2 linked regions of the Oryzias latipes genome follow. Each later gene encodes a partner of the first gene's protein in a complex. Links are inferred from orthologs where the notes say so. Each region holds a gene or a part of one and is shown on either strand. Other genes may lie near its edges.

Evidence for each region.
Region 2: ciao1 (region 1) and fam96a share a complex: the UniProt entries of both Homo sapiens proteins name them as parts of the CIA complex. The link is inferred for Oryzias latipes from reciprocal best matches to the Homo sapiens genes CIAO1 and CIAO2A.

Annotation. Positions count from the first base shown.
Region 1 is NC_019867.2:18,358,963-18,367,451, reverse strand, and holds ciao1 (probable cytosolic iron-sulfur protein assembly protein CIAO1), read right to left. Parts: upstream 4,720-8,489; 5' UTR 4,444-4,719; coding exon 4,305-4,443; intron 4,195-4,304; coding exon 4,046-4,194; intron 3,977-4,045; coding exon 3,865-3,976; intron 3,774-3,864; coding exon 3,685-3,773; intron 3,516-3,684; coding exon 3,320-3,515; intron 3,229-3,319; coding exon 3,159-3,228; intron 2,157-3,158; coding exon 1,922-2,156; 3' UTR 1,612-1,921; downstream 1-1,611. Other genes in the region: snrnp200 (U5 small nuclear ribonucleoprotein 200 kDa helicase), read left to right, coding at 40-132, 211-354; tmem127 (transmembrane protein 127), read left to right, coding at 5,414-5,651, 5,743-5,907, 5,987-6,297; ES1 protein, mitochondrial-like, read left to right, coding at 7,906-8,022, 8,099-8,151, 8,222-8,335, 8,449-8,489. UniProt on the Homo sapiens protein: Key component of the cytosolic iron-sulfur protein assembly (CIA) complex, a multiprotein complex that mediates the incorporation of iron-sulfur cluster into extramitochondrial Fe/S proteins.
Region 2 is NC_019864.2:1,196,117-1,203,500, forward strand, and holds the end of fam96a (MIP18 family protein FAM96A), read left to right. Parts: intron 1-548; coding exon 549-713; intron 714-2,163; coding exon 2,164-2,213; intron 2,214-4,153; coding exon 4,154-4,199; intron 4,200-4,336; coding exon 4,337-4,437; 3' UTR 4,438-5,296; downstream 5,297-7,384. UniProt on the Homo sapiens protein: Component of the cytosolic iron-sulfur protein assembly (CIA) complex, a multiprotein complex that mediates the incorporation of iron-sulfur cluster into extramitochondrial Fe/S proteins.

The sequences.
Region 1 (8,489 bases):
CTACATTTGCTTCATCGTTTGATCGTCTCATCGTTGCAGAAACGTGAGGAGGGCTGGTGGGTTGTGATCGGAGACCCGAAGTCGAACAGCCTGATCTCAATCAAGAGGCTGACTCTGCAACAAAAAGCGAAGGTGAGCCGCTGCTTTGAACACTCCCTAACCAAAAATACGCAAACTACCACAGTTTTCATTTTTGGTTCTTCTGTGTAGGTCAAGCTGGACTTTGTGGCACCAGCGATGGGCATTCACAACTACACGCTGTACTTCATGAGCGACGCTTACATGGGCTGTGATCAGGAGTACAAGTTCAGTGTGGACGTGAAGGAGGCAGACAGCGACAGCGATTCAGATTAAGCTGGAAATTCAAATTCTACATTTTTAATCCTTTTTTTTTTTTCAATAAATAATGGGATCAGGTTTTATATGTAGATATTTACCCCGATCAATCTCTGAGAGTGACCCTGTCAGTTCTCTGTGGGTGTTATAACATGTTTTCGTAGTCAGTACAATCGTTTTATCCTGTATGTTAAACAGCTTTTCAGAAGTTTTGTGTTCTTTACGTTGACCATTGATGTACTTTTCACAAAATTATTCAAAGATAAGTCTAAGACATCTTAAACTGCCGTTGAACAGCTGAGTCTCATCCACATTGCATGTTTAAATAGATTAGACTTTCCATTTTACTTTGGTTAAACGTCATAAGATTTTTTGGATTGGTTAAACCGTTTAATCATTCATGCTGTCTGTTTGTTTTTTGCAATAAAAACATCTGAAAATTGTTTTATAGTTTTATTATGAAACAATTAGTTCTTAGTCTGGCCCCTTTTATGCTACAAGCTCATGTCACTACAGCACTTAATGGATATTGACAAGATTGTTCTTGATCCCCTCCCTTTATCCCTATATATATCCCCACACCTGAAATGTCTGAATAAGCTTGCAAAAATGTCTTTTGGTAATGGAAATAACTGCACTGAATGAACTTGTTTTCAAGTTTGGTAGTTGGGTTTAACCCTTGTGCTATCGTAGACGACTCCCCCCCCCCTTACATTGACGTGTTCTCCCTACCATGATAAAGGTGGAAAGATTTCATGTAATTTATGGATACCAGAGAAGATTACAAATCATTGGAGAAAAAAGGTTCAGAGCACTTTCTAGTGGGTCTAGATGACCCCACTCCCAATGTTAGGATAGCACAAGGGTTAAATTAACAGTGCAAGCCAGTTGGTGAGCTTTGACTACTGATAGTGGTGTTGTGCTATCCTAGGCACTTTACCATTGGGAGTTGGGTCATCTAGACCCACTAGACAGTGCTCTGAACCTTTTTTTCTTCAATGATTTGTGATCTTCACTGGTGTCCATGGATTACATGAAATCTTTCCACCTTTATCATGGTAGGGAGAACACGTCAAAGTAAGGGTGGGGTCGTCTAAGATAGCACAAAGGTAAACCCAACTACCAAACTTGAAAACAAGTTCATTCAGTGCAGTTACTTATTTCCGTTTCCAAAATACATTTTTGCAAGCTTATTCAGACATTTCAGGTGTGGGGATATATATATATATATATTTTCCATTTTTTGGGTGTACAGTAGTTATGCACAGTCTCCGATCACTCCAAGGGTTTGAGGCTTTATTTAAATCATTTTTTTACAGAAAACCTGCTTTTTGCTATAAAGATGTATTTAGATGTAAACAGAACAGAACTAGTTTCTTGCTCCTTTTAAGTTGTAGGACTAAAAACAGTTAACCAGCACACCCATCATCACTTTTGTGAATAAAAATAGAACTTAAACTTTACATTTTACAATCATTCAGATTTATAAAGATAACTGTATAAGCATGACTTTATATAGCAAAAGAAAAGAACATTTAAGTTCAGCACAGGGTTTCATCCAATTGCTGGTGTCTCCACAGCAGGTTCAGTCTTCTTCTTGAAACCTCCAAATTGCAATGTCTCCATCATCACTGCAGGAGGCCAGGAGGCCGGCCTCCTTTGGGTTCCAGGCGACGCAGTTCACATCCTGACAGTGAGCCTTCTTCACCTGAGCAGCCAGCGAGAACACCGGCTCATCTGCATGGGCCGCGAGATCCTCCCTAAACACTCGTATGGCGTCGTCGCCACAGGCAGTTGCTAGGGCACCGGTCAGTCGACACCTACGCAACAGACAGTTGTTTGAGCCATAATAGTAAAGGGGACAAAGATTCAGCCGACTGATGACAAGCGCTGTTTTAGTGGTGGTACAGCCAAAAAAGCAAAGAAGAAAATCTGTTTTGGCAACTTTTTAAAAACTCTGTAAATAGAATCTATTTTTAAAGTAAAAAAAAAAAAATCAGACACCAGACTGTAGTGCAGGGGTGTCCAACTCATTTTGGTTCGGGGGCCACATTTAACCCGTCTGATCTCAAGTGGGCCGGACCAGTAACATAAAAGCAAAATAACAGCTTTGTTTTAGTTTTTTATTCAGTTGGAAAAAATGTCTCAATCAACATAGTAGCCTAATCACTTGGGGCCAATGGAGCTCAAATAAAATTAATTTCAATTAAAGAAAAGTTGGTCTATTCAAATTAATGCAGTCTGAATATTTTACATCTGACACTGAAGCAATCCAGAAACTTTTCTTTATGATAAGTCTCTTAGTGGTGCTGAATGTCATATTCTTTGAGCACTGCGATGTTGATGACATACAAAGCATTTGGGTTTTACATTCAGCTTCGTGAAAAAAAGAAAAAACTCTGTCCAATTTTCCTGGAAGGCTCTTCCCTCCACTTCACGTTTGACAGCATTTTGGTCATTAGGGTGTCGCTAATGATCATCCTTATAGCAAGATAACAGCGGTAAGGCTCATAGGGAACCAAGGTGCATCCTACCCAGACGCAGAGCTGTTATGTTTCGCTTTTGGCACATGCAGATATTTGCTGTTTCAACTGTTTTTCTTTTCCTTTACTCCCCCTAGTGGCGGAATTGCACATTTCTGTTATTTCTTTAAAAAATCATAATTCGCCACAGGAATGGACTAGAAACTTGCTTTCTTTTTTAATCATCCTTTTGATTTTTACTCTTCATGTGTGGGCCGGAGTAAACCACCTGGCGGGCCGGATAAGGCCCGCGGGCCGTGTGTTTGACACCCCTGCTGTAGTGTAAGTATTTAGTCTTACCAGGCAATGTCGTACACTGTTCGTCCATGATAACCCGACAGAGTGCAAACGCACTTCCATGACAAATCACCTAATAAAGCAGACCAAACAAAACATTCTGTGATTAAAAAATATCCTATTTTTTTTTATTTATGTCATAAACTACCCCTCTATCTTCTCACCACTCTCACTTGGATACTCCTTCCAAATCTTCACAGTGCGGTCATCGCTGCAAGACGCCAGCCTCTGTCCCGTCACGTCGAAACACAAACTCCAGACGGTGGACGTGTGTCCCTGCAGAGTGGCCCTGCACTCCCAGTCATCATCCTCCTCCTTGTAAATACAGATGTTGTTGTCGTAGCTGGCAGAAGCCAAGAGCTGCGGAAATAGAATAAAATACAACTTTATTGATCCCACAAACGTCGTTACCATGGCTCTATTAAAAACAGCACGTAGATCATAAATATGGCTAAAGATGCACTTTAACAATTAATAGCAACAATAATAAAACAACTACATGATGGTGAAGGACTGAGTGCAGACCTACCTCTTGCGTGGGATGCCACACAACATGCTTTACATCTTGTGTGTGCGAGTTCACCACTGTAACACACTCGTACTCATCTTCTTCGTCCACTGTGAAGAAGGAAAACAAAGGTTTACAACCCAGCTCTATATGTTTTCTGTGACAAAGGATTGTCCTGCAAGAGCTGGTGAGGACACAAACCTTCCCAAACCCAGACACTCTTGTCTCGGCTACAAGTGGCCAGCAAAGTCCCTGAAGGGGCCCACGCCACGCATTTGACCTCGTTTTCATGACCTTCCAACACAGTTAAGCTCTAGAAGACAAGAAAAGAGTCCAGGTGGAGCCAGAACACGTGTTAGATCAGAGGTTAAACGAACCTTACCTCAAAGTCGTCGTTCTTCTTTTTCCAGATGCATGTCGTCGCATCGAAGCTGGCGGAGGCCAGATAGTTCCCACAGGGAGACCAGGCTACTTTCCTCACAGTGCGCTGGTGTCCGTCCTGCAGAACGTTTTTACAAACCCAAGAGTCACCTTGAAAAGGGAAAACATGAACTGTAAAAAAGGTAAGGTCATCCAACCACTGATTTTAAATCGGCGTAGCAAAATTCGAATAGAAGGCTCTTTGTCTGTCTGAGTCTGACCTTCCTGTCCCCATATCCGGATGGCCTTATCGCCACCACACGAAGCCAGCAGCGCACCGCTCGGGCTCCAACTGACGAACCAGCACCGAGAATCTGGGTGTGCGCTGAGTTTCTGCACCAGAGAAATAGCCTCCTTCATGGCAGAGCTCCAGCAAACGTGACTCCTCTGTCTGTCAGGCGTCGACTCGACACTTTTCTCGATTTCCGTTAACCAAAGATTTAGGCTAAAAAGAGTCACAAATGAGGAAAACGACAGACAAGAGGACTGCGAGTAAATTAATACACCTTTATGAACATTAAAACAAAAGGAGGGGGAAATTAACCAAGGAAAATTGTTCACACAGATAAGTTCAAAGAAGCGTCAAATTAGGAAATGCCGCCATGTTTGCTTATCGGGATCTGGACCCGGTGCATTATGGGTTGATCTAAAATAAAACGTTTTGATGGTAATATTTCATTTATATATTTTTAAAGAAAGTGATCTACCTATATATGTATTTTTATAATATGAATCTATATTTACATTACTGTTTGCAAAGAAAATTTCATGCTAAACATTGTGTACATTTCTATTTTAGTTTCCGCTGGGGGCGGTAGTGTACAGCAAACATTCTAAACGTCACGAAGAAGAATGGCATATACAGGAAGTTAGGGATTTTGAGGAAAACAGCGTAAGCTATCTTTTGTTTTGTTTTGTGTTCCTTTTTGTATCATAGAGACGGACGGTTTTATCAGCGGGATTTGATGTTTACAGGTTATATTTTTTCCCATTCGTTCGCTAAAAAGTGTCTTTCCTCCGAGAACTGGTGACGTAAAGTGTTTATTTTTTTTAGTTAGCTTCAGAGGCTAACAACAGAGCTAAAGGCCCGCTTAGGATCTGTTCTTTGTGTTGGCTTTTCCTTAATATTTTTTGACTACTTTAGGGAAGCGGTTATTGTTGTTTTTATATTGTTGAGCACTTTTATCGCCACCGAAATCTTTGACATATCCTGGAAGACAATTGCCGTAGTTTTACTCTAATACCACAATAACCCGGTACTACTGTCAAGAGGAAGACAGTGCTAAGAGGAACCTACCACTTCAACAGAAAATTCGCCATTCGGTCAGCTATGTATGCCCCACCGGGTCCCGCTGTCTCCGGAGGTCGGAGGAGGAGAGCCGGTACCTCACTTCCCAAACAGCCGGAGCGGAGTCTAGTGTCGGCCCTGCCCGGAGCTTTGTCCATCACAGCGCTGTGCACGGCTCTGGCTGAACCTGCTTGGCTCCGGATTCACGGAGGCACCTGCCCGAGACAAGAACTCGGGGTGGCAGATGTCTTGGGATACGTTGATCCCAATCTTTTGGGTGGTAAGAACCAGCACAAAGTCGTTGCCACTCTAAGCTGAGGATCATGGAGTGCCTTAATTTATATGAATTTGTGGCACGTCTGTCTTTTCAGATTACTGTGTGAATCCGCAGACCATCCTGCTGCTAAGGGTAATAGCTGCCTTCTGTTTCCTTGGCATCCTGTGCAGTCTAACTGCGTTCCTCCTGGATGTGTTTGGACCCAAACACCCTGCCCTAAAGATAACTCGCAGATATGCTTTTGCACATATACTAACAGGTATCTACAGTGCTTGTTTTCATTTCTAATAAAGATCAAACACATTGCTACAATGTAACTGGTTTCTTTGTCTTTCCAGTGTTGCAGTGTGCCACAGTCATAGGCTTTTGCTACTGGGCATCGGAACTGATCTTGTCACTGCAGCAGCAACACAAAAAGTACCATGGCTCTCTCATTTACGTCACCTTTGCCATCAGCTTCTACCTGGTGGCAGGTGCTGGTGGAGCCTCCATTCTAGCCACTGCTGCAAACCTCCTGCGCCATTATCCCACCGAGGAGGAAGAGCAGGCCTTGGAGCTGCTCTCAGAAATGGAGGACAGCAGCGAGACTTTCCCTGCTGACTATGACATTGCCAACCAGTTTCAGCCACCTCCTGCCTACACACCATAATGCCAGCAAAAAGCGGCGACATGGCCTTGGGTTGTCTTTCCTCTCTGCACAGCTGTTTGCTTGACCCGCAAACCACATTCTTTATCAAATGAATATCTCTGCAAATATTCTTGGCAACGAAAACAGTTTGTGTACCTTTAGTGCACAGATTCATTCAATGAAAGTGCTGAGGTGCATGAACGCTTTTATTTGGTGGTGATAGACATTTAGAAGGGAATTCTTCATTTCAACATGGGGTTGGTTAAATATCTGCATTTAAATGACTTGCAGAATTTAGTCTTTACATGTAAAATTAAAAAAAAAAGCAATGAGTGCAAACCAGTACTCCCTAAGATTTTGATGATGCAGCCAAAGCCACACTGGCTCTTAGCAGATTGTTGATGTAATTGGAGAAAGATGGAGCTTTGCTAAGCAGCATTTAGATTTCATTTGATGTGCTTGTCATATGTATGATTTATTTTTAGATGCACCATAGATGCAAATTCATCTGTACACTGACGAGATTGTTTTAAATTTTTATTTTTATGAAAATTGACCCTATTTATTGCACATACTTTTCTTTTTGTCTTTGATTGTTCTTTTGCTTTGTAGACATTTGTCTATGGTTATATTCTGTGTCTTTTATTCTGTGCTTTTTGGTGGGGGGGTGAGATTTTGGGCGTTTAAGGAAAAAAAAACAGCCCGGGTGGGTGTTTTTGTTGTAAGGTGGGGGCGTAAAGAAAGGGAGATGCCCAAGAAAAGTGTTTGCAGGATGAGTATGTAAGGTTATTTTGTTTTTTATTTTTTGTCTTTGAATTGTTCTTATTTGTATTTTGTGACTGTGTGTTGGATCCATCATGTTGTACCCATGCATGAGTTCTTTAGTGTGCAATTTTTACGTTTCAGCCCAAATCTTCTCACTTAGTTCAGACTTGGAATTGTGGCTAATGTGTTTCGAGTTGGTTTTACAACATTTTTCCACTATTAATCTTTGCTATACTGTCAGCAGTATGTACATATTGATTGCTTACATCAACTGATTCTAATAAAGTCAAAGTCATATTTTGCGTCCTGCTGGTTTACATCCCACTGAGGCGTCCAGGAGTTTAACCAAATGTCAGCCTTCCACTAACTAACTGAAGCCTTTAAATTTGATCTGTCTTTTCCATCTGCCAAGGATATTTCTGGGTTCACCGTCTAGACGCTACATGGCATTACTAGAGAGTAAGAGCCTTACAATCTAATGGACTTTAAAGGGCATATGGAATGTCACTCAGCTGCTTTAAACATTGAACACAATTTCTCCACCAGCAAATCCCATGAAGATCAAAGGCAAACAAAGATATTGATTGGATTTGTCAGGAGGCGTCCCTCTGTGGTTAAATAAGTTGATTAGGGGAGCGGTGAAGGCGGTAATGGCGTAGGTAAGGGAGTTCAGTGGGGAAACAAGTGCAGGTGTGATAAGACAATGGTCTTACGTGGCCACGTCACTTTGGCTGCACTATGGAGGTATATATACAGGCCGCTTCACTCGGATCAATATCAGGACTATCAGAGGTCGTGGAAAGCTCTGTGAGAAACTCCAACGTTTCATTTCTCCTCTCAAAGCCGTGAGACCAAAGCAGAACCATGTTGGGAACCAGGGCTTTGCTTTCTAAACAAACACTGGCTGTTTTTTTCCGCCAGCCTGCCTGCTTTGTTCACCAGGGTGACTATGGCAACTGGGGAAACACCAATGTCGCTGTGGTAGGTTAAGCAGAACTTTGTGAGATCAGTAATGAGATCATGGCACACATTGCTGGAATTTCTCCTTATACTCTAGGTTTTCTCTGGATGCGGATGGTGGGATGGAACTGACGTCCATGAGGGCGTGTAGTGAGTATGAGAAGATCAGGAAAGTTTTGTACACCAGTGAATGACCATAACTGGAAACACTTGTGTTTAGCACCATGTACCACCTGAGCAGAAATGGCGCTCGCTTCCAGATTTTTGCCCCAAATCAACAGCAGATGAACGTGATGGACCACATGAAAAAGCAACCAGCTTCTGGGGAGAACAGGTTGGAGCCACTCATTTGACACGCTTAAGAAGAGCTCTGTTCTTCCCTAATGTCATAGTTTTGATATTCAACTTGACTGGAACTACTTTTGGTCATGTTTGACTGATAAACAGGAACATGATGATTGAGTCAGCGCGCTTCAGCCACGGGCAGG
Region 2 (7,384 bases), on another chromosome or scaffold:
AAAAGTAATTGTAACTTTGCAACTTTAAACAAGTAACTCTGCAAATTTGAACAACATAACGGTAATTAAGGATCTAAAAAGTAAAAAACTAAATAAAACTTCTTAACTATTGATTACGAACAAATGTGAAATAGCAGTGATTAGAAGCAGCATGAAAACTTCTTAACTAGTGTTGCCTACTACACTGAAGTGCTCTCTTCAAAAAATCTGAAACAGACTAGAGCAGATATAAGTATGATATGGTCTATTTTCAGTAATTGAAAAGTGTATAAATAAGTAATAGATGTCACCAGAATGCATCAAATTGCACCATATTAAAATTTTCCGGGGGGGAATGCCCTAAAGTTAAGGCGTCCGTCGCTTTGGGTGCCGCCTGCGGCGGCGGGTCGCGCTGTGTGCGGTGTCGGGCCAGTAACTTTCTGGCAGGGCCAGTAAATTTCAAAAACCACTGGCCCAAATTTCTGAGCTATGTCAACCCCAGCCTTCTCCTTGAAAGCGACTTCAGTCCGATCTGATCCTCAAAGGCGCTTTTTCCTGCCGTTCAACAGATGTGATCCGATCGATCCGGGACCCAGAGAAACCCAACACGCTGGAGGAACTGGAGGTGGTGACGGAGAAATGTGTGGAGGTCCAGGATCTGGGAGAGGACGAGTACCTGATCATCATCAAGTTTTCCCCCACCGTCCCTCACTGCTCCCTTGCTACTCTCATTGGTGAGTAACTGATGGAGACACGAGGACAGGACCCAGAGCCACAAGAACAGAGGACCTGACCAGGAGCTGAACCGGAGTTATTAAATCTTTAGAAAGAAAAACATGACCTGTTGGTAATGAATATCCTATTTCCTGTTCTGTGAAAAAACTAACTCATCTGAAATGTTTAGCAATAGCAAAAAACTTTAACAGGTCTGCTTTTCTTGGTCAGGTGTTCTTTCCATTGCTGAGTAAAGTTTAACTTAATGTGTGTTCAGAGAATAAGTCATGTTTTTTGCAGTTTGGCCAGGGGTGCGACTTATACTGTGGAGTGACTTATTTTCTGATTAAAAAAAAAACTAATATATTTGTCATTTTCCCACTAAGAACAACTAGAGGGCTCAGTAAAGGGGTTTATTGGTAATTCCTACTGACAGCAACACAGAAGAAGCTCTGCTCAGTCCAGTCATCCATTCAGGCTTTCTTCAGTGGCTGTCGTGGTGCAAAGTTAGAGCGGTCGACCTCTGATTGGAAGATTGGATTGCTGGCACAACACTGAACTCCCCATTGCTCCTGGTGGTTATAGGTAGTGCCATCAGTATATGAATGGGACTGTGACTGTAAATCACTATGGACCTTCTAAGAAGGTACTAAAGCGCTATACAAGTATACACCATTTACCTTTTTTTCTTGACTATTAAACATACTACATAGCATATAATACATAGGTGTAAGGCCCTGAATCCCGGAAAAGACATTTAGATTAGGTTTGGTCGTTGTAGCTACAAAGTCATTCTGCTTCTAAATGGACGTGGGTCAGGGTGTTGGGTCTGCCGCCGTGAACAGGCTGGTTCTGGTCAGTGATTGTGATCACTGGAGCCAAGCAGCTGCAGTTGTAAACAGCCTGTACCACAAACAGATAAGGACTATGCTCAGGAATGCAGACTCACAGCAGGGGTGATTCATTAGAAATCATTGTATATAATCAGAGCGGTCCTAATGAGCACAAAAATACATTGTTGGATTGAACTAATAACACTTTCAAAAAGTTCCAGCTGCTATACTGAACATACATGTTTGTCACACATTTTTATTGTAAGGAAAACCATATTCTTAACTAATTATAAGATCATTATAAAAATGATATTATTTAGCATGTCAAATCATCGTGTGAGGCTGAAAGCTCTGTTGGAAAAGACACTTTCGAGGCTTCAGTTAGTTTCTATAACATACATTTAATATTGGGTTTTTGTTGATCTGTTGTTATGGTTAATCCCTAAATCTGAGCTTCCCTGATGATGACATTCTCGTGTCTGTGTGACAAATTCAGACTTGTCCTAGTTAGAACAGGTCAATTTTTTTTCTTATGTTTCCAGCTTAAACTCTGCCTATACAGCTTCGGCTAAGTTGGGCCTCTTTCTTGGAATAAGCTCCAGTGTCGGTTGTCTTCTGAACCTTGCTATGTTTGCAGGTTTGTGCCTACAAGTGAAGCTGCAGCGCTGTTTGCCTTTCAAACACAAGGTGAGCCTTCCTGTTGTCCAGCTGCACGCTGCCCCACACATGCATCTTCCTTCCTGCATTCACTGCGCATGCTTACAGAAAAACAGATGCAAACTTAACCACTTCAAGTGGAGCTCATCACTTTGTAATGGATGTGCTGTTTAGATGAACACAGTTCTTCATTGTTTGGCTCAATCTGTGAAAGGCTGAGTCTTAAACCACTTTCCACCCAAAGTCATGATCTGTATTTAGTTTTCGTGTGTGAATGGAAGAGAGTCCACTTTTGCACAGGTTATTTGGTGGCAAAAAGCATCAGTCTTGACAGCACGCTTAGCCAGCACAGGCTGTTCATTCCGTTGTACTATCCAGAAATATGCCAGGGTTTTAGAAGTAAACTCTGCCTACAGAGACCTGTCTGTGGGATTCTCTGTTAGGTTCTCCTGGTCAGATCCTGAAACCAAAGTAGGCACAGCAGTAAATGGGTTACGTATCCAGTCATGTGAGCCGTCAAGTCTCCTGGAGGTGACTACGTTACTGCGCCGCCAGCCCCAGATGTGTGTTAGTTAGTCTGAGGCGACATGCTCTCTCTAGGTTCAAGGCTCTGCATTCAACTCTTCACTCATCCCTTTCCACAGGATCATCACTGGCCGTGCTAGTTGCTGCCTATAGACTCATCAGTGCTAGCAAACCGATTTGATAAATACGTTTTTTAACCTATGAGGTCATGGTAAGAATGTCTTCAGCTGAGAGCTGACTGGTTGTCGAAGCTGGAGTTGGATGTTTTTTTTTTAATATCCAATTGTCCAATTCAGCATTGCTCTGAGAAAACTTAGTCACGTGCCAATCAAACATTTTAAACCGAATTACAATTTCTGATTGTTTCTCTTTCTCCTCTGATATACCCCCATGGCTTTTTGTGTACCCCAAGATTGCACTTACTGTAGTTTAAGAACTGCTGCTCCAGAGGTCACCACGTTAGCTTCAACACCTGAACATAAGTATATTTGGAAAATAGGAACTCCTGGTTCTGGTTCTAAAAGCAGTGAGTAGGCAGATAAGGGAAGTTAGTGTCTCATAGGGCTGCACGATATGAGGAAAACTTGCGATATGGGATATTAGTGATCAATATTGCGATAACGATAAATTTGCGGTAAATAAACAAATAGAAAAATAAACAAAAACATCATTCCCATTTCATTGCAACAGTTTAAAAATTATACTCCAAATGACCCTCATCGACATGGGGGACAAACGTCAGGGTGGCTAACCCTGGTCCTCAAGAGCCTCAACCCTGTTTTCCAATTCTCCCTAGACCAGAGGTGGGCACTGAGGGCCGCATTCCTGCATGTTTTCCAGCATACCCTGCTCTGGCATGTTCTAATTGGCTGGACACACCTGAACCAGGTAATAAGCCATGAGTAGGGAAAGGCTATCTTGAAATCATGCAGACACACCGGTCCTCGAGGCCTGGAATTGCCCACCCCTGCCCTAGACTGCTCGATAATGATAACCAAAATCAGGTGTGTTCAGTCAATCAGGATGTGAAATCACTTGAGTCAGCCAATCAACAGCAAGCTGGTTAAGGAGAGCTGGAAAACAGGCAGGGTTGAGGCTCTTCAGGACCAGGGTTAACATAATAGGCCTCCATCTGATTGGTCAACAATGGGAAGGCGTCCATCTGATTGGTCAAAGCATAAAGGGATTTATTTGATTCGTTAAATGCTTCAAGCTGCTAGAAGATTGTTTTAACACATTTTGGGTTTGCGATTTGTTGCGATATTCGCCATCTTTTGCGATATGCATATTGCAGAGCTGGATATTGCGATAACGATAAATTTGCGGTATATTGTGCAGGCCTAGTGTCTCATCTCTCTATCATCAGTACCAGTTTGTCTCTAGACCTTCACCTCTTTTCCTTCAGCGTAAACTGAAATTTTCTGTTGTCTGTCTTTTGTTTCAAGCTGGAAATTTACCTTTCAGAAGGAACCCATTCTACAGAGGAAGACAGTAAGTTTCTCTGCTGTCATGAAACTTCCCTCCATCAGGACACATGCATGTCTGTCTCATGTTCCCTGTTTTGATTTGTCACGAGCTTGGATGCTTTCATGCAACTTTTTGTCATTTCTATATTTTTCTGTGACCAGTAAACAAACAAATCAATGATAAGGAGCGAGTGGCCGCCGCTATGGAGAACCCCAACCTTCGAGAGATCGTGGAGCAGTGCGTGACGGAACCAGACGACTGAGCCTCAGTGTGTGTTTGTGCGTGATTGAATTGTCCATTTGAGCAAAGGACAGGATCAGGTTGGACCTTTTTGACCCAGAAGGAAAACAACTGTCCCTTTTTCCTTTTTTTTTTCTCATGCCGCAAGAGGGAAAATGATGAAAATGTTTTTGCGGAGAGAAACTTAAACTGATGCTTGAGAAGTTCTGATTTTCTTAAAAATGATTTGTACTTTTAGATGTTTTAAATGAATTAAAGCTGTTGCGTGTCAGTCTTTGTCTGAGGGGGTGGGGGGGCTAAAGGACATTTAAAAACAAAAGTAACTAAAGGCACATTCTATTCCCAGGGTCTTTTCCCAAAAAGCTAACTCAATAGAAATCCTGACCAAATTCAAGATGAGCTGTTTCACAAACTGGAAAAAGTCTGAGTTTGGTTTTGACTCCTCCCACTTGAGAGTCACACTTTCATCCCCACATAAAAACTGACGTGAGGCTGAGAGTGAATCATTTTTAGAGTTTCTAACAAACACTTTGCTATTCTTTTGTAAAAATAAGCCGTTGGTTTAGGAACAGAAAATGAATGCAGTTCTATGTTAGAAAAAAGTGATCTGCACTTATTGTTACTCTTCAATCTTATTGTCATATGCTCCGCACACTACAGATGCTGTTGGACACACTGAATGTTAATTACAAATCTGGGAGCCAAAATCTTTAAATGTGCAAACTTGACCACATCATTAGTTCATTATGGTATGCACATATTGATTTTTCTGTTCATCTTTGTGTCTTTTTTAGGGGAAGTTTTCCTCTAAGGGAAAAATGTCACATTTTGTTTATTGTACACACAAAATATTTGGAATAAAGTTTATGGCAATAGATTAATTGATTACAAATCCACCTCTGATTATTAGTTTCATTGTCTGTAGTAATATGGTATATACAGTGCTCAGCACTGTATATACCATATTACAATACAGTGTATTTTAGAATGAATGCTTGGATAGAAGTTCAAAATTCAACAAATGATCAAACAACTACCGCCCTGCCCCCCCATGTTTAACTGTGGATCCATACTGAAAATAGGGTTTAAAACTCTGGCAAGGTCCTATCTCATCACACATCGTGCAGTAGCTTTTGAGACTGTCAGACAGTCTCTACTGATGCCTGCATCTTCACTGTCTGTGACATGACAAGAATCAAAACCATTCCAAGGTTTTTGGGTTGGCCACAGGGACAAACATAGTTTTACAAAAACAGGCTTTAAATTGTAAGATGGCTACGTTTTAGTTTCTTTTTCTACGAGCTTTCTTAGCTCAGGTGACTTAATTATCTGCCTGCCATGAACAAAACGTAGATATTTGCTATTGTTTTGGTGGAAAATCCCACAAAATAAGATTTTGTGGACTAATCTTTATTTTGATACCATTTCTAGCAAAATATATAAACCCTTTTATACCGACGGCAATCATCAACTCTTCCTCCATTTGATTTTGGACTCCAGCCGCTAATAAGATCAACACGAAAATACCAAAGCGTAGTTCCTGATCTAGTGACCCAATGCAAAACTTCAGATATTTGAACTCTGGAAACAATGTGCTGTGCAGCCAAGTTTCTGTCACAGAGTGCAAATAGCTGAACTTTGGTGAAGCTTTGCATTGGGTCACCTGATGGAAGAGGAGATGATTGCAGTTTGTGGTTCTCCTGAACTTAATGATATTGTAATTGTATGGAGACCATACTGAAAAGGGTCTTGTTTTGTCTGCAGCTCCTCCCTCGCCCATGCTATGATTCTCTGATGCTATGTCAATGAGCTGTTTTGTGTGCGTCACAAGTATGTGACCACAAACTGGTTTAATGTCTGAAAATATTTTCACAGACCAGACTTTAAGATGTGGCAGATTAATACAACAAACTTAATTAATTGGACAGTCATTAAAAAAAAGATCATTTTAAATATAATAAAAGTCATGAATCAACTGTGAATGCAACTTTATCAGCAGCATCTCACAACAGAGCCAGTTTGTTTGTTTGGCTGAAAAAAGCTCTCCAGCTATTTAAAGACTGGTCAATGTTGAAAATAGAATTGAAAAAATATATAGAAGGAAGTTATGCGGTCGCTCTATCGGTCCGTCGTGGTGAAGAGAGAGCTGAGCCTAAAAGCAAAGTTCTCTATTTACCGGTCGATCTTTGTTCCAGTACTCACCAATGGTCATGAGCTCTGGGTCTTGACTGAAAGAACGAGGTCCTGAATACAAGCGGCTGAAATGAGCTTCCTCTGTAGGGGGGCGGGGCGCTCCCTTAGAGATAGGATGGGAAGTTCAGTCACCCGCGGAGAGCTCGGAGTAGAACCGCTTCTTCTCCACATCGAGAGGAGCCAGTTGAGGTGGCTCGGGCATCTAGTTCGGACGCCTCCCTGGAGAGGTGTTCCGGGCATGTCCCACTGGGCGGAGGCCCCAGGGAAGACCCAGGACACACTGGAGAGACTACGTCTCTCGGCTGGCCTGGGAACGCCTTGGGGTCCCCCCAGAGGAGCTGGAGGAAGTGGCTGGGGTGAGGGAAGTCTGGGCATCTCTGCTCATTCTGCTGCCCCCGTGACCCGGTCACAGATAAGCGGAGGAAGATGGATGGATGGAAAACTTAAGAACAGAGAAAAAAGTCAAGTAAAAAAACATACATTTATAGCCAAATTCATGTACTGCACATAAACATTAGTGCACTTCCACACTTCCTGAGATCCCAAGCAGCTTCCTTTCCTTGCTCCTCCGGCCCTGTCATGACACATGATGAAATGAGCTTCCACTTGATAGAGTTTTTCTATGAGCAGGTGGCATGTTTTTAATTAATAAATGTGTTATAAGTAATGTCACATTAAGGGATGTTTTCGGCACAATTGGACAAATTCAGAAAAGTTAAGACATGTACGGGCACAACCCGACATGTTTGTGTTAAGAAATGTTCATCCATGATCCT